Linked DNA regions of Arabidopsis thaliana. The protein of the gene in region 3 interacts with the protein of the main gene of each other region in a pairwise test. Each region holds a gene or a part of one and is shown on either strand. Other genes may lie near its edges.

Region 1 (9,161 bases), on a different chromosome or scaffold from region 3:
GCAGTTGCGAAAGGGCTCTGCCGTTTTTTGTCGACTGCTCTTTGACGTGCCAACTCTGCAATCTTCTGAGCTGTGCCTTTCGGGTCTAAACCGGCCCTCACCGAGCTAACCACCACTCCTGTGATCTCTTCATTGTATAAATTATCATACACTCCATCTGTTCCAGCGACAATGACATCTCCAGACTGAACATCAATTGTGAATACCTGATTCATATAACCACACCAGCGTGTTCAATTCAATCCGTATAACCCGAACCACAACTGAAAAGTGTATTCAAAATGGTCTTATTAAGCTTTGATAATAGGAAGAATACGCCTTTGAAACTGACCTGACCGGAGCTAGGGACGTCGGCACTGTTCCCACTCTCTAATTGATAAGTGAAGTTGAATCCATGCTGCTGAACCGGAGACTGAAACACCGTGGTTCCCTCTCTAACCACCGTGAATCCACTGTCTCCGAGATTAATGGCGTGTAATCCCTTGCACAAGGAGAACAAACACTCTTCAACAGACGGTTCTAAGAAATACAGTTGTTGTTCATTCACAAACAAAACTCTGTGAGCTAACTAACCTTATCTTTTAAAACGATGATACAAGCCGTGGAGGAGCCTTTGGCTTTGGTTTGAGAATGTGCTTTCTCTAACACCACTAAAGGGTCGATAGAAGAACCTTTATGCTGTTCTTGAATTGCAGATACTGAATAAGACATAAGCTCACGCGAAAACAGTCCCGCATTAACACCAACCTCAGCCCAACCGCCAACTCCATCTGCAACTCCAATAGCTTGTTCTTCATCGCAGATAAAGTGAGCGTCTTCTCCACCTGTAGCTTCCTTTTCAGGATGCGGGAGATAACATGACCCCGACACTAGCCTAAGACTCCTACTCAAAATATCAAAACATTGAAACCAATTGGTAACAAAAAGATTAAGAAAGTGTAAAAGAACTTACTTAAGAGATGTAGTAGTAGTTGGTGGTGACTCTTGAGAACCACCGTTAAGAGAAGACAGCTCATGAGCCGGTCCAACCGAGAAACAAGCCATAGGAGAAGTATGAACACTCTTAGACAATGTCCCAAAGAGTGCACGACTCTTTTCTAGCGGATCAACAACAGAATAGTGACAAACCAATCGGTTCTTCATCATTCCCCCTCTCTTCCCAAGTCTCATGCTAGCTACAGGACAATTAATAGTGAAGCTACCACCACTAGAACGCTTCTTAGTGAAGTCTAAGCCATTTGAACAAGTAGTAACCAAATCATCCAAACAAGCGTCTCCAAACACTGGCAAAGAACCAGAAGCAGCCATGGCTTGACGAAACCGAGAACTATCAGAAAACAATCTCCTTTGACCCGAATTGGAGAAGAAGCTCTTACTTTTCCCAGCAACGATTCTTTGAAACCCAAATTGAGAAACTGGGTTTAATCTCGAGAGAGCAGTCGCTGACATCTGAATCAATAATAATCAATAAAAGGAAAGATTTTTACCAAAACTGAACAAAGCTACACCAAAATCAACAGACTATAAAACGAGCCCTTAATCATTACCCACTTCAAATACTTGAGATAAGAGATAAACTATTACCGGATTCTTCACTAGTCAGGGCTTTTTCCGTCTTCTTCTTCGCCGGAATTAGGTTAGAGAAGAGAGGAAGGAATATATAAAGATCTCTTGTTTCCGCTACCTACCTGCAGCTGCGAGCTCCTCCGTAAAACTCATTAGCCGATGAGGGCAAAATCGGAAACTTAACTTGTTTCTTCGTGTTCAGTTTTCGATGTCTGAAATTTCTCAGCGAAATTAAAAAATACTAAGAGATAATAATTTAATGGTCTTGGACTTGACATTTAAGGCCCAATAGTATTAAGCTTGTGGACTTGAGTAGTCTTCAGCATAATGACTAATGAGCTTAAAATATCAATGGCCTATTAAGAAAGAAACATTTCACAATCAACCCCAATAGGCTTCTCTCTTCTTGCTTACTGTACACAACCAATTTTATTTTCTTAATATTGAAAACTACACGATCATTGCTCGAGTCCAAGCATATCAATATTGATCAAATGATAAAGTCACACTAATCATAGTTACTGATTTCTGTTAAACTTCCGATTTTGTAATACAGTAAATATGATGTGGGTAAATAAATTATCTTGCTCTCCAAAATAAAATACAAAATAGTGCCTTTGTGGGTTGAATTGTCATGATAATTCTATCACTATAATGGACCTACGTAGCGATTGAAACATCAAAATCCAAAATCTTTGGTCGATTCTCCAATCAAATCACACTGGTCAAGTCTCAAATTATCTGGCCAAATTGAGACTATTTTTAGTTCTGCAAGTTTTTAGACAAATATCACCACCTTCCAAAAAATTTATCACTTTTGGGAGAAGTCAATTCAATCTCATCTACGAATTGTTCCCATTAATGCAAAAATTCGATTCAGCGTTTTAAGACAGCAAGCAACACCCAATAATAGAAACTTCAAACCCCATTGATTGTTTTCACATGGTAGAGACTTCCATCAGAACTAGACCAAGATTTGTAACCATCTGTAATAATTTAGCTGTCATGTCACAACCCGAGTTCAAATTATCTCTCAAAGTACAACATGTGAGTTATAATAAACCACACACCAAAAAAAAAACAATATATTTTGTTGTTGTTGCTAGGAGATTTATGTACTTGAGAGAAAACCCACTTGGGAATAAAACTAAAGCTTTCACTAAAACAAGATACCAAAACATCTAAAACCTGAAACAAACTTGATGAACTATATACTACACTGGTCTACTACGTTCATGCCTTTTGTCTCTCTTACGAACTTCTTCCAATGTCTTTGCCTGAAAACTCCCCTGATCCAAACAGATCGATTCCACCTCCACCACCTATAGAAGTTAACAGAGCAGACAATCCACCTCCGGTATTACCACCATTACCAACAGCTCTTCCTAATCCAAGAAAGTCTAGTGTCGTCTGTTTCGGACCAAACACCGATGAATTCCCCATCATGAGCTCTTTTAGACCCGATCCGCTACCACCGCTGCTACAAGGTAGTCCAAGTCCAAGACCAGGAGCTAATGACAATGCATCATGATTGCTGAGTTCCATAGATGAAGAAGTAGTTGAAACTATGCCTAACCCGCGAAGCAACGAACCTCCTGATCCCGTGGAACCCATTTGTGCAGCTTTTTGGAGCAATGCAGTAGCTGACATTGCCGGTTGAGGAGGGAGAGGAGTTAGGAAATGTGGCGGATCTCGTATTGTTGGTCCGAACAAAGAAGGGTTCGTCGAGAGACAGAGAGAGATGGGTTCCATGGAGGACGATGGTGCGAATAGACTTGGAGAAGCGGTTGAGGAAGCATATAAACTAGGCGAAGCTGTTGATGATACAAACAAACCTGCGTATCCACCATTGTTGTTACTGTGATCATTGCTTAGATCCGATGAGCTAACATTGAACCCGATCGTTCTTGAAGCTTCCTCAATAATGACTTCAGGATGATTGTTGTTTTCTTGAGATTCTACAAACAAAAAGAGATGATGAGTCATGGACATAAACTTTGAGGCTTTAATTATAATTAATGGATACATTATAGGCTTAGCTATGGAAGACGACGAACACGATTCAGTTTTTTAGCAGACATCAGAAATATAACGGCGCTACAGACAAAACCAACTAAACTCCAAGTTCACCGACCAGTTTACAGTTGGATTATTTTAAAGAGTTCTTGTTTCGGTTAGAGAATTGATAAATTGTTACATGTAGCGATTTTGCCACATTTTGCCATCAAACAGAGAGTTTGTATTATGTACCTGGAGAATTCTGAATCGGCAAAACAGAGGAAGATATGATTTTGACAGACTCAGTCTCAACCGAAATAGCCGGTGCCGGAGCTATAGCAACCGATGGCGGAGAAGAAGGCGGTAATGACGGAGAAGACTCAACAGCTGCTGGAGATTTTTGCTCAATTTCAGGATTCTTCCTAGTGACAGTTTCTGGATAAAGTTTCTTGCTTTGAGTATGATTCTTCGCACTCTCTTCAGCCAAGGCATCACAAAAGGCTCTATGCGTTATAAAGCTATCTCTCCTGCAACAAAACCCAATCCACAAGTTAGTAAAATCCATAAGAAAGATCAAACCTTTGAATATGTTTATAACAATTTGTCGCCACCTAGAAAACAGAGTTCCACAATCGCATTTATACTCCTTGGTGCCACAAATCTTCGAATGAGCTTTCCAATCTGATTGAACAGCATACTTCTTAGAACATTTCTCACACTTCCATTTCTTCTCGCCGTGTTTCCGACAAAAGTGTTTCTTGATTCCAGTAAGATCTCCAAGAGCACGTGAAGGGTCATGATGAACACAGCCAGAAACAGGACAAACATAAACCTTCTTCCTCACTTCTTTAGTCGATCTCTGTCGAAGTTTCCATGGAAGATTGTGACCACGACGATGAAGCTGAAGATTCTGGTCACGTTGAAAACCTTTGTTACAGATTTCGCAAACGAATCGATTCGTTGCCATAAGTGTTTTAGGTGACAAAGCTATCACTTCAGCGTCTGGATCTGAATTTAGACAATCAGTGAGAACAACTAAAAACAGAAAATTTCAAACTCAAAAAACAGAAAAAAAAAAGTTTGGATTTTTGAGAAGTACCAGGCATTCCAGGAAGATTCCGTTTCTTCTTCCCGACGGATTTAGGAGTTAGATTTTGGTTTCCGGTCGATGAGACGCTTGCATCGCCGGAAACTGTAGAGGAATTATCTAAATCAACCGGCATGTTTCAAAGATACTAAATTCCAATCTTTGAACACAAAAAGGAAGAAGCAAATCTCAGCTCAGCTCAATCTAGGGTTTATCATCCTCCTCCTACTCTGTTTAGTCTCTCTTTCTCTCTCTCTTCTTCAGCTACCAGTCAATCTGCTTTTCGTAAAAATCTCCTTTTCCCCTTTCCGCCACCAAACTTTTCTGATAACTCACTCTCTGACCTCTCTTCTTCAAAAAGATTTAAAACCCCCAAAAGAAAAAGAAAAAAAATCAAAACTTCATTACCCAAGAAATCTCTTAATCATTTAACCCAGACTCTCTCTTCTCCACACGCATCTTTTATCCACCGTCCACCGATCTGATCCAACGGCTGAGATTTCACCGGAGACGAGTTATCCTTACTACTTCCGGCTTGTTTCTCTCTGAAGAATCACCGGAAAAAAAAATAAGGCGGCTTGTGTGTGAGACTTTGTGTGAAAGCTTCAACCTTTTTTTTCTTTTTCTTTGGCTTGTCCAAGAAAAAGGAGCCTTCTTCTTCTTTTCTCTCTCTGGAGACAATTATACTAATTTTTTTCTCTCAACTTTTCACCCTTTTTTTTTTGTTAACAAACATTTTTTATACATAATTGTGTCGACTTTCAAGTTCCAAGTATCTAAATCTGTATTTTGGACTCCCATGCAAATAATTAAAATAGAATAATCTTTTTGTAGATTTTAAATTGAAAACGGTGTAGAAAGGTTAAAAGCACCAAACAAAACGAGTAAATAGATATTGTAATAATTTTTTCACCTTTATGGAAAAGATTATATCATAGACGATGTACACAGATGAAAATTAGAAAATGGCATGTGAATATATGCAGTACCCAATGAATGCAATATCAGGTTTGTATTATTTTTCTATTGTATCTCTACATGTTACGTAATCAAACGATCAAGTAATTTATTAATATTGTCGATGGCGTAGAAATTATAAATTTATTTTATGTCATTGTTTACTATATAGATTTTGAGCTAAACGACTTATTTTGTCAAAAGATATATCCGTGTTTGGTTTAAGATTGGGTTTTAGTATTTCCAATATTAATCTAAATTCTTAGCTTATGAACATGTCAATAAACAAAAAAATTATTTTACTGTCACTGTCCTTAGACGGGGACAAAGGAGGGTATTACCGTCGCGTTGTCGGACCGTAAAATAATTAACCAAATTTTGTTGTTGAACGAATAACATTTTTTACTGTGGGAATTTGTCGTGTAGCATTACGTTCGAAATCGCAATTTGTTTTCTTCTTTGTGGGTGTATATTTCTGGTTAACGAAACTATAACCCAATTTAATGCAATGTTCGTCTGTTTTTGTTGACTTTGACCCTTTTTTGGTAATATTCGTTCAGCTTTTGTTTTAACGTTTTCATTGCCTTGTAGGCATCTGAGAAGCTCAGATTCTGACACGTGTCTTTTGTTATCTGAATTTGCATCCGTTGGATAAACATGACGCTGACAGGTGGATTGAAAAGTAACCAGCTTGGATTTCTGTGTATATGTTACACCGCCACTTCCCTTAATTTCTTCGTTCTTAGTTAAAATAAAAAAGGTTTAATTTATGAGTAAAAGTATGTAAAACGACAACGATTACTATAAGAATTAAAATTTATCTTTGCTTAGTAATTTGCACTTAAGATTGGATTCAAATTTTGTAAAAAGCGAATGTTACATATATGTCCATTGAAAAAATTGCATTTGACTTTACAAGCATTGAAATTAATTAATTTGGGACCCCTTTTTTTGTTAGTTTCAAAGGAAGAATTATTTTAGGCTGAGATGGGTCCCTCCATAAACTCACTATTCTGCCAGCATACAAATTCCTTAACATATGGTCCAAATAGCAGTTCCAACCACTAGTATCCAATAATAATCTGAACAAATTATCTTTCTTTTTTTTTCCTGATAATCTTGTATTTGTTTGTTCAATGAGCTTAATACGTATATTAGTTATGACTTATAACTAAATACTTTGACTCACTTGATCCGTACACATTGATTTCGTTTATTCAAATCCGAACAACGTAATGATCTTTTTGGGCCGAGTTATTTGTATTCTCAACCTGAGTCCAACCATGCTTTATGGGCTTTTCTGTTTATTTATGCATGTAAAGTTTATAATGCTTGCAAATAACCACATATTGTATGAATGTAATTACTATGATTTAAGGGCACTGCTTTTCTGTTTTCACGTTGTTTTCGAAATTGCTATTGCGTGTGATATCTGTGTTGGACCAATTATTGAAAAGGACAAGGCTGACTCTGGTTTTTAATGAGTAGTCCCCATGGGAGTTATGTTCATTTACCACACATTTTTTTGTATAGTATAGTATGAGTTTTTATTTGATATCTTTTATCTTCGGAAAATAAATGGTTCAAATTGTTTGTCTAAAAATGCACACATGAATATCTTGTGGTCTCACACAATTGTAGGAAACAAATTAATATTTGTTGCGAAAATAATGTTATTATTTTATCATACGAAATCCTAGAGAAAATGGTGGCAAAAGAGGCAAAGACTAAACTAATGAATTTAAAATATGAAAATGATGGAATGACTGGTTTACCAATATTACAGTATATTGTAATTTTATAAAAACGAATCCTGAAGAAGAGGGCAAACCCCAAGACCACGCAAATCAGTCTACAAATATGAAAATTTCCAATAACTAGAAAAACATGTGCATTTATCTTTTTCCATCATTCGGATTTTTACAATGGAAATTTTGACCACTGAGCGCAAGTGTTATAGTATTTTATTATTATCCAATATTAATATCATTATTCGGATCCATGCATTCTATATAACTATGTCCACCATCTTACTTGTGTCTATGTTGCAACTTCAACGTCGTATATATATAGGGATTGTTGTCACGAATACAATGCTAATTAAGGAAGATTGTGACTTCTCGGAAAATTTAGAACTAATTAAGAGTGGAACTAAAATGCCAATGAAAATAGCCTAAATCAAAGGAGAACCACAAATATAAATTGGAAGACCTTAAAAAACAATTAAACGAGGACGAAACAAATTTTGGAATCATCAATTATACGAAAAAAAGAAGAAAGAAAAAAGAGGTTTCATGAATCACAGTAGTGCTGACAATCTTCGAACCATTTGTGGGTTTCATACAATCGATCACCAATAGAACAAAAGAGAAACAGAGGAACAGAAAGAATAGAAGGAGTGGGAAGTGTATGAGGAAGCTGTGTCCGAACATAGACAAAGACGATGGTCTGGAGACGGTGTTGGAAGTTCCGATACCGGAGGAGATGTTTTCCGGTATGGGCAACAACGTTGCACTTAGGTGGCAAAATATGATGACGTGGATGAAAGCTCAAACGTCTGATAAATGGTCGCAACCGCTTATCGCCGCTCGTATCAACGAGCTCCGGTTCCTTCTCTACCTCGTTGGCTCGCCTCTTATACCTCTCCAGGTTCAAGTCGGTCACTCTGTTCATAAGCCCGTCAAAGATTGCTCCATTGTAAGTCATTCAAAATCAATCCTTATGAAAACATAACAAAGATGTTGAAAATATGATTCCTCTTTTTTTTTTCTTTTTTTCTTTTATGATCAAAACCCAAAAAAGTCATTACCCTGCTTCGTAAGTATTCAACATAAAGTTGTTAATCCATGTGTTGTACTCTGCAAGTCTGCATTACATTATTCATCGTACACAGAGTCATCAACTTCAGTTTCATTGTTTTTTTGCTTATGAATTACGATTGCAGCAAGCTTCAACGGCGAAATACATTGTACAGCAGTACATAGCAGCGACGGGAGGACCACAGGCGTTAAACGCCGTGAACAGCATGTGCGTCACGGGACAAGTGAAGATGACGGCGTCGGAGTTTCATCAAGGAGATGATTCGGGCGTTAATCTAAAGAGCAACGACGAAATGGGTGGTTTCGTTTTATGGCAAAAGGATCCAGATCTTTGGTGTTTGGAGCTCGTCGTCTCCGGTTGCAAAGTGATATGTGGAAGCAACGGTCGGCTTTCATGGCGACATTCCTCTAACCAGCAAACTCCGGCGTCTACCGGAACGCCAAGACCTCTCCGCCGGTTTTTACAGGTCCAATCCGGTTATTGATTTTTTTTTTGATGTAATGTCCGGTTCTCAAAATGTTGAACCGGTGGTTTATTTATTGTTTGAGCAGGGGTTAGATCCTCGTTCGACGGCGAATCTGTTTCTTGACGCAACGTGTATCGGAGAGAAGATAATCAACGGTGAGGATTGCTTTATCTTGAAACTGGAGACGAGTCCGGCGGTTCGAGAAGCTCAAAGCGGTCCGAATTTTGAGATAATTCATCACACGATATGGGGTTATTTTAGTCAAAG
Region 2 (8,031 bases), on a different chromosome or scaffold from region 3:
AACTCATTGATTGGTTTTACTTTTACTGTTTTACATAAGACCAGAAACAAATAAAGTGATCATATGATTCAGTTAACAAATTGAATGTGAATTATCCACAATCTGTCCCCGGTCCAATCACAACGAGTTTTCATAACGTAGGTAAACCAAACCATTGCTAAATTTGTGACACATAAATTATAGCAAAATATCCACCTTGTTATCTAACATTACTTACATTAAATAAAACAGGTGTCTCATTGGCTAAAAAAAAAACAGGTGTCTCAATGATTAAACAATGAATATTTTCTACTCGAATTTGATTAAACAATATAATCAGCGTTTAGTCTGACCACATCCCATTATAGAAGAAGGTAAACTAGAAACCTTATCAATCCCAGACTCGAACACAATCCCCATTCCCATGAAAAAATGCGATTCAATGTGGCAGTGAAACGACCAAACGCCAGGATTATCCGCTCTAAAACGCAACGCCGTCCAGCCAAACGGTTGAACCGCAACCGTGTTTTTCTTTATCGGGTCGACCCGGTTATACCTTTTCGGATCCTCCGACTCATTAAACTTTCCTTCTCCGTACCCAAGCACCCAAAAATCATGACCGTGTAAATGCCACGGGTGCGTTTCACTGTTGTTTGCGTTCATTGTATTCGCGTTTTGTAAAATCACGTCCACGGTTGAATTGAATCTCAATCTGTAGATTCCATCGCTCGTCGTCGCGTTAGCGTTAAGGGGTTTCGCGAATATGTCGTAATTTCGAGAATCGTAGTTCTCCGGTGCCGTGAAACGCCAGTCAAACGCGTTTGTGAGGTTTTGCTTTAACGCGATTAGGTACGGCGTTTTAGGGTGGTGATAGGAAACGTTGTTGACCGACCAACGTCTGTATCCGTTGACTTCGTTTTGTGTATTCAGAAGCACAATGACTTTGTCAGAATTCTCCGGCAGCGCGTGAATGAATCCTCGACGCGCCTTGATTGCTAGGCTTTGTGCAAGACGGGAGCGCGTGTCGTTCCATTCCGGTACGATATTGGATGATTCCGACGTGGGAGGACGCCGTCGTGGGTGGTTCGGGTAGTAGTTGAGTACAGCGGTTGCCGGTGGAGTTGTCGCCGGACGGCTAACTATGCTTGAGGTGATCCAATAGTTTCGTCGAGGGTTTTGATCTGCCTTGAGAAGTACGGAATAAGTTTCGCCGGAGTATACAAAGAGATTCTTCACCGTGAATGGTTCTACGTAGTGTCCGTCTGCTTCAACAACTGTCAAATTATGTCCCTGTTGTTTAATTTAACCCATCTTCCATTAGAATACGAAAAAGAAAGAAACAGAGAAGACAATGAAAATGATTGGCTTGATTCTCAAGCTAAGTACCTCGATTTGGAAACTGAGAGCAGAGAGAGCCGTCAAGCTACCTATTCGAAGCCTGTATGTCTTTCCGGGAATCACCGTAAGAATAAAACGCGAACAATCAGCGTTTGAGACGTTACATACTCCAGACACTAAGCTTGGAGGAGTGGTTAGGTTGTTTGAGCAGTTGAATCTTCCTCTTCCTTGTATCATAAGCGACTGATAATATATCCAAATAAGAATCATCCATAAACATAAAATTTGATCGATCAAACAAGAATCTGACTTTTGAGTGATGGAAAAAAGAACTCACTTGTGGCTCACCGACCCACTTGAAGGGTATGGATGCTAAACCGGTGGCTTTCTCTGACATACTTTTGTGATACCAATCAGTTAACAAAAAGTTCCGGTCATAATCGTATGTAAACGGTTCGGGCTCTGTGGCCGGAGGAGAAACTTGAATCATTCCGATTAATCCAGACTCTCTCTGCATCCCATAGTGTGAATGATACATGTATGTACCAGGCTACAAACAAATTTCAAAACTTAACATAAAAACATAAAGAAAGATTGAAACTTTAATGTGAGTTTTATAACTCTTTACCCTATCAACGACAAATTGGTAAATGAAGACTTCTCCAGGAAGAATTGGACATTGAGTAACACCTTCTACTCCATCGAACCATGGAGTCCCAATCTGAAACATATATAAATCAATCTTTTTCAGTCATTCACCGAGTGCTTACGAGGATGTTTACGTACCTGTCGGATTCCATGCCAATGGACAGCGACATTTTCAGTCATGAAGCTATTCTTGAGCTCGACAACGATGGTGTCACCTTGTTGAGCTTTAATGGTGGGACCTGGAAACTTACCATTGATTGTGATTACTAGCTTCTCGAAACAATCCGGTGACTTGAACTCGTACTTCACTTCCCATTTGAATCTCCGGATCTTTCCCTGACAGAGGACGGAAGAAAAAAACAGGGCAATGAAACAGAGGACCATAAGATTGAAGACATGGACTGTGTCTGATGATCTCTTCGGTCTCATCATTTTTCCAATCGTGTCTCCAAGAATCAAAGAAGATAAGAAGCTGAGATTTCAATATATAGTTCGAGATTAATCAATTCATATATACATAACGATAGATCATTGCATGTCATGTGTTTACAGATAACTCATTTGTCTTTTGGAGAAAAACTGGAGAGAAAACGCGTTTCACTTTTCTACGATTTAGTGATAATTTCTAATAATAATACATCGACTTTTATTAGCAAAGTAAAATTGTAGTATATGATTCTGTGTACCTCATGTGTTTTGTAAGTCATAAAAGTCAAGTATGTTCGATGCTTCTACACTGCTTTTCCTTTTTCCGTAGTAAAACCACATTATATTTTGATGTTTGATTGTAAGATTTTTAAAGCCTAAACTATTGTTAAAACAAAATACTTAATCAAATCATTAAATGAATAATAGGTTTTACGGTTTGAACTAGCTAGTTAGTCACTCATTTCATTTTTTAAAAATCTCGAATTTAAATACCTACAATAGAAAATTGAATAATTTACATGTTCATACCCCTTATCCGAAAAAAATATGGGGTTAGGTCTGAAATTCTTTAGTTAATTAAAAAGACTTACTTATTGCAGTACATTCCACATAGACTTTTAATTTGGTCAAGTCTTAGCTCAGGGTCAATGGTAAGAATCGAGAAAAAATCTCTTGGACCAAGTCAGAGCTTAATTTTTTTTGGTCGTTATATTAAATATCTACGTAAAAATCAATGATGTAACATGTAACATGGGGAAAATAATATTATCAGTATGTAACAATATTATAACATGGTATTTATTACCATTACTCCACCATTTAAGTAACTCCTTTCGTTACACGAAGAAAAGTCATAAGACAAAAAATCAACATTGATCAATCGATCCGAGACAAGTTAATTGTAATTTTGGATTTAATTATTGTTTCATTTCTAGTGAATTAAAAAATAAAATATATGAAATCCAAAGTTTGGATTCTCCTCCAATTTTAGTATTTGATCTAATTATTTTTGATCTAATTATAAAAAAATCTTAATAAACCGCCTAAAATCATAATCATATCAAATGTTTTTTTTTAATAAAAAATAATCTAAATTTTTATGCCAAAAAGAAGAATTTAGCGTAATGGTATCTATTGGAAAGACGACCCAAATCCAAAGACCAAACCAGGTTACTTCCACAATGTTCACGGAGTCATCTCCAGCAATGGATCCGGATTTACCCGAATCCGAAACCCGACCCGAATTCAATCCCTCCTCCACTGATTCCACCGCCATGGCAGAGTCAACCGATGCAGGGGAACCGACGGCATTCGAATTAGCCTCATCCCAAGTCACATCCGTCGCCGATCTACCACCGGAACGATTCAATTCGCTCGACGAATTAACACACGATCTCGGCTCGCTCCACGAGCTTTCGACCCGTGGCTCATGGCAAGCGATCCTCGAGAAGATATCTCAAGCCAGAGCTCTCTTCCTCCTCACAAAGCCTCACGAGCATCTCACTTATCTCACTTACCAAGTTATGGCTCTCGCGAAGCTTCGTCGCTCCGATGAAGCTTCTCATGAGCTTAATTCCTTGCACGATTTCGACGGGACGCATTACAGGTACGAATCGTTCCCTGAGATTTACCCTAATCGGAGAGGATCTATGGTTCCTTTCTCTTTACGATGGCTCTACGCTTTGATCCCGACTAAGCTTGGTAATCGTCAGGAAGGGTTAGATCGTTTATATGTTTTGCTTGACTTTGTTCGAGATCGAATCAGAGAGAAAGAATCTCAGAGTTTAGAGAGTTCTGTGGAATTGTGGAAGAAAAGAGAGACATTTGTGATGAATTGCTTGCTAGGGTTTCATTTAGGTCACAAGGAATTTGGGGTGTCTTTGGATTTGATGAAGGAATTGATCAATCGTGATCCGTTAGACCCGGTTTTGATTTCGAAACTAGGGTCTGTTCAGATGCAGTTTGGTGATGTAGAAGGAGCTAAAACTACGTTTGATAGAGTTGAGAAGATGTTGAATGAAGGAAAGAGCAATGGTTTATTGAACGAGATACAGTTCAACAATCTTGTTGGTAGGAATAAGGCTTTGGTTTATGTTGTGGCAAAGGACTATGTTTCTGCTGTGAGAGAGTATGACAAATGCATTGAAAGGGATAACTCTGATATTATCGCTGTCAACAATAAGGCTCTTTGTTTGATGTACTTGAGAGATCTATCGGATGCGATTAAGGTGATGGAAAGTGCATTGGAGAGAGTGCCAACCGCGGCTTTGAACGAGAGCTTGGTGGTGAATTTGTGTAGTATGTATGAGTTGGCTTATGTTAATCATACTGATGTTAAGCGGACGTTAAACAATTGGATTGCACGTGTTGCTCCTGATGACTTTGATTCATCTTGTACCAGAGTTTGAGGTATTGTCTCTGTTCTTGTTTCATTCTTGAATTTTTCCCTTTTTTAGGTTTTGGCATGTCTAAGAACTGATTGGTGATGTTATGATGACTTCGATAAATTGTGAAGTCTTAAGAATATGAAACAATCTGGTTAGGTAGATAAGAGAGATGATATTCTCTAGCGCCCTAAACTTCTTGTTCTCTGTTTTGGTTTCATATAATTTCCATTGGAGGTATGCAAATTGATCATCTAGCATTCAAAATTGCAGGTTTTCATTCCAAACAAAGGTAATTAGTCAAAGAGTTTATGTCTTCAATGATGAAACAAATCTTGGTGGGTTTGGCCTCAGCTGGAGACTCTGTTGTTGCAATTACCGGCTTCAAATTCGTTGTAGTTTTCTGTTGTGTAAGCTAGCAAATGGTTTGTTGCCCCCAAACACTTGGTAACTTCCTGCATTCGTTTTCTCATATTCATCTTCTTATAACGTTTTTTTGCATTTGCCGTTAACCACTAATGAAGAATGTGTGTTCTTGCAACTCTTCCTATGCACAGAGATTTTGGGTAAATCAAATATTTAAAGCCATGTATTTTGAGTTGAATATTCCCGTTGAGAGGATCATATAAGGATCAATAATTTGGGATATTACCAGTTTTTGAGAGAAATTTTCCCTTTCAGCTTTCAGATTCCTTGTATATCTTTATGACAATATCAAAGGAATCAATTCTCGTAGAACATGAATCTACCAACGAATTCTTTCATATAACAACCCTTTTTTATTGGTTTGGAAAAAGCAAAGTAAAGATTCTTACTTTACCCTACAGAGCAAAATTTTCTCCGCGAAGCTAAATAATCCCCACAGTAACCCTCCAACACAAATCTACGCTTAACTTTTATCACAAGAAAACGCAAACCCCAAATCCACAATATATACACATACCTACTCACAGGATTAACAAACCGAACATAAACCAAAATCTGATATGGCGGTCCAAACATTTCCCAACGAAATCGTCTTCTTCGATCTAGAAACAAACGTACCAAACAAAGCAGGGCAACATTTTCACATACTAGAGTTTGGGGCGATCATCGTATGTCCAAAAAAACTCGAGGAGCTAGAGAGCTTCACAACGCTTATACAACCTAAAGACTTGTCGGTGGTCTCAATAAGGTCGTCTAGGTCAGATGGGATCACCAGGGCTAAGGTTACGAACGCACCAAGTTTTGAAGACGTGGCTGAGAAAATCCATGGTTTGTTGAACGGTAGGATTTGGGCAGGTCATAACATTAGAAGATTTGATTGCGTTAGGATCAAAGAAGCTTTCGCTGAGATCGGTAAAGCTGCGCCTGAACCCTCAGGGATCATTGATTCTTTGGGGTTATTAAGTGACAAGTTTGGCAAAAGAGCTGGTAACATGAAGGTACCATTATCCAAGATTCTTTGTAAGCATTAGAAATCTTAGGAATTTATATATTGAAGGTCATTGTGCACTATTTTGTAGATGGCAAGTTTGGCTGCCTATTTTGGTCTTGGAGTTCAAAAGCACAGGTACCTAATCATATATGTTTGTATCTATTACTGTTACGTTTTCCTTAAGGTGAAATAACGCACATATGTCATATAATTGCAGGAGTCTCGATGATGTTCGAATGAATTTAGAGGTCCTCAAGCATTGTGCAACAGTGCTTTTCTTGGTATGTCGTATACTCATAATTCTTTTTTTTCTTTCAAGATTTTTATTTCAAATATACAAATTAACTCATTTGTATATGTGTTTATATATCACCTAAATATACAGGAATCTACACTTCCCAATCATTTGGAAGGAAAATGGCACACTTCTTCTAAGATTATGACAAGAAGTCGAAGGAATTACCAAATAGCCCAAAGGGCAATGCCTTACTCGAAGGGTAGTCTCGAGAAGGTAATTGTGTTTTTTTCCCCTCTCTTCAAATCATAAAGAATTTAAATTGCCGTTAAATTTTGTCTTTCTTTTAAATGTTTTTGTTTAATACAGATGACACAAAATGTGAAGAATCTGTTAAGCAAAGCTCAAGGCAATCAAACTCTCCAAAGCTTGATCAATCATTCTCATTCTTTGCTTAGATGATTACTGCATCCCTCCTAAATGTTAATTTTTTTATAAATAGTTTGAAGAATGAATTTAATTGTATATAATATTTATACCTTCATTGACTCTATTACCAAATAATTCAATTGATATTGTTTATATTTTGTCACTAACAACTTTTTATCTGATTTTTACCTCAAACTTTTATGAATACATCACATTGGTATTGTTTGTCATCTTTAAATATATTTTCTTTTGTCGTATTATCTACGACTTATTAATATTTCAACGTAATAGTTTTTAATATTTTTGTCGTATTTATTCATTTCTATTTAGTTTTGGATAAGCTCTTGATCTTATTTTATAATTAAATATTTCAACGTAAAAGTTTGTCCAACTTATAATCAGTTGTTTTTAATTTAATTTTGGATAAGTTTCTGATCAAATATTTAATTCTTATTCTGTTTAAATTGGAAACAGTTTATCTGTTATTAATGTGAAACGAAACAATGGATAAACTGTTCCCAATTGACAAAAATAATTGATTACTTTATTAATGTGAAACGAAACAAAGTTTGTCAAAAACAAATATGAAACGAAACAAATAAAATATATCTACGTTATTGGGAAGAAGAAAAAAAAATATCTACATAGTTGCAATTAAATTATATATTTTAATACAACTGTTATAATTAAGACAAAATATATATGTATATATATATATTTACTGCTTAATATGTTTTGTTTGTCGTATTATCTATTATTCGTTTGTGAATTTTATTTTGGATAGTAGTCTTTTCATTTACTTAAAATTAAATAATTCGAAACAAAATAGTTGGACATAATCAAGCGTACGAGAAACTTCCAGCACATCAACATCACCCTTTATACAAAATGATTTTTGAGTGAAAAAAAATGAATGTGAAACAAAGAGAAGTATGTGGCGTGGAGGAACACAGACAAAGAGTTTACAAAGGGAAACAAATTATCAATACACAAACGTACGTATGGCCACAACCATGCCTATCAAACTTTTTCAAAGCCATTCCATTTCCAAGGTGTGTCCAAAAACCATTTTTTTTTTTTTTCATCCTCCATAATTAGTTTTTGGATTCAGTTTTTGAAACTTCTTATGTCGACTAGAGCAAGAGCACTATATTTTTATGTAGTTTTTCAAA
Region 3 (7,511 bases):
TACTAACTTCGTAAGCCTCAACATTGGAGTTGTAGGTGTAACCGTAGCGAAGATGGAGGTGAGAGATGTTACGGATGACTTGGTTGAGATTCTTCTCAAACGTACTACCCCGCGTGTATGTCCCTTGTGTGTTGTTGCATTGGTGGTTCAAATACTCATTCGTAACGTTTTGGGAAGAAACTATGCGTATAAGGAGGAGTTGCATGGCCACCATGGCCAATATATTTGAAGACATTGTTTGGGTTTTCTTTCCTTTTTTTTTTATAACCTTTTTATGAGATGAATTGTCAGGAGTTCGAATGTTTATATAGGAGAGTTGATGATGAGGGATTTGGATCTTAAGTGGAGCTGATACTTTTTTAATAATTTGATAACTATTAGTATACAAATTCGATTGATCATTTCATTACTATATATAACACATATTCTATATTAGTCTGTCTGTGAGAGAGAAGAGAGAAGTTGGACGTTGAGACTTGGTATTTGCGCCGAGAAGAGAGGGCCGATAAAATGGTCACACGACACGAACGGTGTCAACCTGAAATGAAGGTAGTCTTAGTATATTATGTAATAACAAGAATTCTTTTTTCCTCAAAATAGGTAGATTGAAGATATTGTCTCACATTGGAACAGTGCCCTGCTGAGATTTCGGGCAAAAAAAAATATGTTCCAATTTGTCTAGTTAAATAATTAAATAATAAATTAAAGAAAACTAAATTATATATACATATATAAGAAGAAATTTTAAAATATAAAAATAAAGCATAACAAAAACAATACAAAACCAAATGTTCAAATTATATATTGGAATAAATGTCACTAAAATAGATTGAATTTGAAGCATAAAGAATATTTGAGTCAGCTCAAACCAACCAAAGTAACACAATTTTCTTGGAATTGTGGCCTAAAAAAATGGTTTATGGTTAGTGGCCGGCACGGCTTTGCATGGAAGTTGAGTACGATTTGCACTGGAAGTTGAGTACAATTTTAAAAAGTATATATAAGAGATGGATTTCTCTATTTATTGCCAATTAGTTTTGAGTTGGAAGCCTACAATCTAATAAAATATCATACCACGATCTGCACATGCTCAACCCAATCCACATCAGCTCAATCAGTAGTTGACCCGCTGATCAATGTCTGAACATATCGAGATGAATGGCCAGAAGAACCATTATCTCGAAGAGACGTATTAGAGATATTGTCCCACATTGAAAATTGAGTAGAATCTTAAATAGTATATATAAGATATGAGTCTCTCCACTCAATTTGATTTCAAGTTGGAAATCCACAGATTAATAATAATTTTCACCGGAAATAAAAACTTATTTAAATCTCAAAATTGACTTGGGAAATATGCTTTGTTGATAAGAGTGGGTTGATACCATTACATATAAACTACTCAAACTAGTAATAATTTCTGTAGAGTAGGAGACTTTGGAGTTGAGATTAATTGCTCCTATTAAATATATATATATATATATATATATATATATATATATATATATATATATATATATGAATACAATTTTTTATATTGAAAGCTTGAAGGCAATTGGCATAAGAAAAAGAGGTTTTGACCCTCTATTATTGAGAGTTATTGAGATTACAATTCGAGAAATGGTATTTATCCGTGTCTTCCCTTAGAAATGTCTTTTGGCAATTATCATAAAGAGATAGACTTGGAATTATAATTGTATAGCAAATCAAAAATGACTAGGATATACAAAGATGACTAAATTATATATTCGAAAATGTGAATGATTGATTTGCTTATGAAATGAGTAAGTTCTTCTCGGGATTGTGAATGAAAAAACAAAGCCCATTTTGACATATAATAAAAGCCCATTAATATTTAGGTCAAAAAAGCCCAAAATATCAACAAACACATGATTAGGGTTTTACTAGTTTATATATAAGCTTGTTTATCACACCGATAGTTTCTAAAAGACAATACACACTTATGTTCTTCCGCCGTTTCTATCTTCTTCGTTATTTTCGTTTTTTTTTTTTGTGAGTATCAAAGGCTGTTTATGATTGCACAAGTACTGGGACATCCCTGTAAAAACAATTGGGGAATCTGTCTAATAATTTTATGTGCATATATCAAAATTAGGGATCCGCTTTGCAGCTTATGACCCGACCCGAATCAGTTTCGGTTTTTTTTTCGTGTCTCTGCTGCCAGTAATCTCCTGAAATTCACTTTTCATCATGAAGCCTTATTGTTTCACTTGTTTAGTTTTTATTCTGTTTATCAGAAGTTTTATTAAGATCTCAGTTTTTTTCAACTTAATATTTTCTACTTGAGACAACCATTTGCAGCCTTTTGATTTTGATTAAGAACCCAAAATGTAACAAGTAAAATTTGGTAAACTAGTCATATTTTTAATCTAATATTATCTACTTAGGTATGTTACAATCATTAATTACAAACAGGGAAATAATGAGAATATGCAAACACAATTCAGCATGACAATTTATGAACACCTTAAATATGCAAACACAATGGATTTCAAATGGCAAGAGAGTATTCACTACAATGATTTTTTTTTACAAAATGTTATAAGAATCTATTAGTGTCATCTTTGTATATCCTAGAATCTAAAGCTAACACATAACGCATATATACACTGTTTTTAAAAACCCTATATACCCCCTAGTTAACATCCAAATTTTCGATTTTCCAAATTCAGAATTTCCAAACGCAATCAAGATTCACTGGACCAGTGGAACCATAAGAATTGTGACCTTGCCAAGAACTCGCTGTTAGTTCACTCTCTGATGAACCTGAATTGTGAAGATTCTTCTTAAATTGGGTTTCTTCATTGTCAAGCAACATCTTCAGTACTGAAGAATTGTTTTGTAGAAACAGAGGATCGAAGTCTAGTAGAGAACCTATGTTTGGTAAAAAGTTAGTCGATCCGGAACCAAACATGGTAGTTTTAAAATCGGCCACAAGACTCTTGTCATCGGTTGTTTGGTCGGAGAAGTAGGTAACGTGAGACAACAACCCACCAAGGGTGGTCCCGGCTAAAGAGTCTTGTCCTCTACTCTTTAGATATGGAGAAGAATCCATCAGCGGAGGTAAACCAACGGACATATGCTCCTTCGTACCATCAGTCCGTGTATGAAAAACACGACTAATAACACATTCGTTCTGCATCCACAAACAACACAAGAAAACATTATAAATCAATATACATATTACCTTTGGCTTTGCATAAAAAAAACATCATGTCACAACAAAAACAGAGAAGAACTATGATATATATTAATATATTAATGTTACCTTAGCGGTTTTAGAGAGATTATCGATAGCGAATTTGCCTTCTAATCGATACTCATGCATGACCCAATTTGTTTTTACTCCTTTAGGAGCTCTTCCTTTGTAGAAAACCAATGTTTTCTTCATACCAACAAGAGATTTCCCTTTGAAGATCTCTTTATCTTTCCCTGTAGCTTTCCAATAACCGGCTTTAGTAGCACGATTCGTTCTTAAACCAGTCGGGTATTTTCGGTCTCTTACGCAAAAGAAGTACCACTCTTTTTCCCCAAGCTTAGCCTTCCCTAAAAAAAAACAGTGTTTAGAAGTAACAAAACATAGAAGGTTTTTAAAAACCTAGAAAATAAATGACCTATAACTTACAAGGCAAGTCCCAAGGCTCGACTTTGTTGAGATCAACTTCACCAATAGCTATAGCAGAGAAAAAAGAGTTTACAACCTTTGGTCTTAGATAGTGTGTTATAAGTTCTTCATCAGTTGGGTGAAATCTGAAACCAGGTGGTAAATCAATCTTTTCTGAATCTTCTACTTCTCCTTCTACTATCTCCCCACTTCTTGATACCTTGTAATCCATTTCAGCGATTAGATATAATCAAAACTTTTTCAACTTGTAGTGGCCAAATTTTTTGTTTAATGGTTGTAAAGATATCGAAAAAGTTTTTTGATGTTAAAGATAAAGAAAAAAAGTTGAGTTTCTTTTCAGAGAGAAGAGAAAATGGTTTGAGCAACCAAGCTCTTATACTAGTTTGTATAAGATGAAGAACAAATATTATTATAGTTTTTATTCACCAATAATTGGTCACTGTTTGGTATCAAAATATTATTTTCTAAAATGTATTTTAATTAGATTATCCGAAGGAAAATATAATAATATGTCAGTTTTATAATTAAGTATATATATACAATCTGATGTAGACCTGAACCAACCATAATGTATCAAGGTTCCAAAAAAATATTATAAATTTTGATTTGGTTTATTTTGTATTTGGTTTCTATTACAAAGATGCGTAACTCAATAGGATACTTATTAAGATGTTATTATGAAGATATTTTCTTATGATATAATTATTTTTTATTTTTATTTAAAAAGATTTGATATAATTATTAAATCTTTCTGTTTCAAAAACTTTAATATTCTCCAAGTTTCAATTTGACCAGAAACATTTCACTTGTGGTTTCCCATCCATTCTGTTGATGCGATAAGACGATCTTATCACATCACTGATGACGCTTTTGTCCATTCCTTAAACTAATTATTTAGAATTTCATAAGAAGAAAATATAAAGCTTTTTATATGACTTTATCCATTGAAACCATTTTTAGTTCTATATTGGGCAATGGGCAAGAGCTTGAGCTTTCAAGCAATTGAGGTTTCTAACTTAAGAAAAGTACTATAACTATAACTAGAGCAACACATTGTGGCTTAGCTCCTGACTTGTCCAGATATAATTCTACGTCTAGAGTTTAAACTCTATATCATGTATGTTCAAGATTGTTATAATTGTCGATCAATCTATAACACATCGATAGAAGAAAGAGTAGAATTTTACGTCTAGATTGTTGTAACGTAGTAGTAAACACGATTTTTATAATTACAAGAATCTCATCTAATCTATTTATTTTAGTAAAAATTGTGTGGATTTACATGCATAAATTAATTGTTCTCTCTTCTATATTACTACTTATATTGAAATATAGTGGTGTATAAGGAAAATTTAAATAAATTGATTTGGTCATATATGTTATTAAAATGCACTATTTTTTTTTTTTGATTAAAAATCTAAAGAAAACTCTAAAGTTAAGCGCATTTAAAGTAAAGCAAACTTATGATGGGTGATTAACCGTGAATCGATTGTTAGTTCGTATGAGTGAAAACAAACACAAGAAAAAGATTATATGGTGAATTATAGAATCAGTAAACAAATATTTAAGCTTCCAGAAAAATGAACTGTCAGACGAGATTGGCCCATATACCGAGAAAAAACGTTTGGTCCATGAAAAGTGGTGGTCGTCGTCTCGTTACAGTTACGATGGATGATTTCTATGGATCTGAATGGTCACCGCGGTTTTTAGTGTACGGAGAAAGTATTATGACCGTGCAGTACGAATTAACTGCGGTAAGTGCGTGAAAAATATATTTGTGGGACAATTGTGGTTTGTACAAAATAAGCAGTACGGAATAATGTTTGATTGGTGAAAAATCTATTTGTGGTGCGGATTATAGATTATATATATATAAATATATATATTAATCATTATTTATTTTTTGTGTTAATAAATAAACAATAACATATATTTATAAACCATATACACAAATAAATCAAAATATACATTTTAAAGTTTAACATACATATTATTAAATCCGTTGAATAGTTTCATTATGGAAAATTAAAAAAAAAATCATTTTTACAAGTAATTTTTTTACAAGTAAATTGATTATAGAACGTATATAAGCTTATAGTAGATAATAATTGTCAAAATTTCTAAAAGCATTGTTATGTTTCTATTTCCTGTAATTGCATTTTCATAGTTTTTAATTAAATAAAACAAACTAGCTAAGACTGGTCTTTATCTCTTTCTTTGTACCCGGTTTATCCGGTTTAGTTTCCTCTATTATTGAAATCAACATTGGCACAAAAATAATAATATAAACAGCTGTTAAAAAATTAATTGATCTCTTTGTTGGAATGCACTTTTACTTAAAACCGCTAGGTAAAGAGTTTTTCTTCTTTTGGAAAGCGTTCCAATGTATTGTTCATTTGACAAATTAAATCGCAAACTTTTTTTTTTTCGAAAAACACAAATCAGTTAAAAGTATTGTGATTGGTACGGTATTGTGGTTTTAATCAAAAAAACACAGAAAAAAACGCCTTTTGTAAGTTTTCCAATTAGTCTATGTGTCAAGGTACATCTTTTATTTTTATTTTTTAAAGGTACATCTTTATATCTATAAGGGGTTCAGTTTTCTTGCATGCGTTATTCGTACTCCTATAAAACTCCATCATAGGTAAGTAAACAAAACTAAGAAAAGATCTAAGCTCTAAGCTCTGCGTACTTTCCTTCGCTTTATCTTGCCAGTAGCACTAGGCATTTGAAACTATGGAATAAAGCCGTTTTGATCCAACTTAGCAGCAACCAAATTGCAAACGAATAGAAAGAATGGTCAGAAACAAGATTGGTAGGTGGATCCAAGATAGCAAAAATATCTCTTCCTACTCAAGATGCAACAGATAAAAACAAACTTTTGAACCAAGAAAAGTCAATATTATACATTTATTAAGAAATCGAAGAGCAAGAATGCATCTCATTCTCATCCTTTGTGATGTTCTTGGAGTGCACAAGCATTTATTGGGCCAAAACTCCTACGCACATGATAACATGTCTTAGTAGATTTCTTATTGATAATACATGATAACATATCTTATTGTTAATAATATTAATTTAATTCACTGACCTGTTAAAATTTAGACAGAATGGCAATAACTTATATAGTGATAATTATTATTTTTTTATTTTATTTTTTAGACTAACATTATATAAGTGTAAACATGATACATCATATCTAAACTTCAACTCTCACCATTTGCTTTTTTATAACAAAATAGTAATTAAATTAATAATCTTGGATCTATACCGACCACTTACTCTTCTATAAGGAGTTGACTTTTCTGTCTATCAAAAGGCCTCAAAGCAATCCCCAAAAGACCACATTTTTGTCTCCATCATTAACTTATAATTACAAAATCACAACCAAACCAACATCATAAAATCATAATCAGAATCTCTTCATTCATCAAAGAATCTTAAAAATGGTGAGAGAAAGAAGAAAGACGGAGAAAGTAGAAGAGAAACGAGAACAAGAAGTTGTAGATCAAGAAGAGAAGGTGAAGCCGAGGCAAAGAAGCGTGAGCAGAAGAAACATGCAATCTCTGGTCATCGGACTCGTTGGAGGTGCGTTAACCCTCGGTGCTTATTCTCAGACATATGTTGATCCGGGCAAGTCTATTGGCGCTGGCCTCTTTGTCCTCTTCTTTGGCTTGCTTGTCAGTGAAGGTTTCATCTCTCTTTAAATAACAATATTTCTGTATAAGCAAATCAAACCTTCTTCTTTTGTTTATGTATATGACAAATATACATATCTATGAGCATCTTGTTTCATTTATATTTTATTTCACTTGTTGGATCTTGGACTTTTGATTAAAGTGACGAACACTATATTGTTTTTACG

Evidence for each region. Proteins that work in one complex are often made in the same cells at the same time.
Region 1: the proteins of NAC3 (region 3) and IDD1 interact in a two-hybrid assay, tested with the Arabidopsis thaliana proteins (one large-scale study listed by BioGRID).
Region 2: the proteins of NAC3 (region 3) and AT4G39820 interact in a two-hybrid assay, tested with the Arabidopsis thaliana proteins (one large-scale study listed by BioGRID).

What each region holds. Positions count from the first base shown.
Region 1 is NC_003076.8:26,639,097-26,648,257, forward strand, and holds IDD1 (C2H2-like zinc finger protein), read right to left. Parts: upstream 5,643-9,161; 5' UTR 4,788-5,642; coding exon 4,664-4,787; intron 4,573-4,663; coding exon 4,176-4,572; intron 4,092-4,175; coding exon 3,817-4,091; intron 3,525-3,816; coding exon 2,818-3,524; 3' UTR 2,490-2,817; downstream 1-2,489. Other genes in the region: AT5G66720 (Protein phosphatase 2C family protein), read right to left, coding at 1-206, 332-481, 574-883, 953-1,449; AT5G66740 (spindle assembly abnormal protein (DUF620)), read left to right, coding at 8,018-8,305, 8,553-8,894, 8,980-9,161. UniProt on the Arabidopsis thaliana protein: Transcription factor promoting the transition to germination by regulating light and hormonal signaling during seed maturation. Acts as a positive regulator of phytochrome and/or gibberellin action.
Region 2 is NC_003075.7:18,473,469-18,481,499, reverse strand, and holds AT4G39820 (Tetratricopeptide repeat (TPR)-like superfamily protein), read left to right. Parts: upstream 1-3,439; 5' UTR 3,440-3,518; coding exon 3,519-4,802; 3' UTR 4,803-4,803; intron 4,804-5,051; 3' UTR 5,052-5,542; downstream 5,543-8,031. Other genes in the region: AT4G39830 (Cupredoxin superfamily protein), read right to left, coding at 316-1,269, 1,366-1,560, 1,655-1,867, 1,946-2,038, 2,104-2,397; AT4G39810 (Polynucleotidyl transferase, ribonuclease H-like superfamily protein), read left to right, coding at 5,765-6,202, 6,284-6,330, 6,413-6,476, 6,581-6,706, 6,800-6,892.
Region 3 is NC_003074.8:11,030,185-11,037,695, reverse strand, and holds NAC3 (NAC domain containing protein 3), read right to left. Parts: upstream 4,032-7,511; 5' UTR 3,858-4,031; coding exon 3,647-3,857; intron 3,568-3,646; coding exon 3,290-3,567; intron 3,158-3,289; coding exon 2,690-3,157; 3' UTR 2,388-2,689; downstream 1-2,387. Other genes in the region: AT3G29040 (cysteine-rich repeat secretory protein, putative (DUF26)), read right to left, coding at 1-235; AT3G29034 (uncharacterized protein), read left to right, coding at 7,093-7,353. UniProt on the Arabidopsis thaliana protein: Transcription activator that binds to DNA in promoters of target genes on a specific bipartite motif 5'-[AG]CGT[AG](4-5n)[AG][CT]ACGCAA-3'.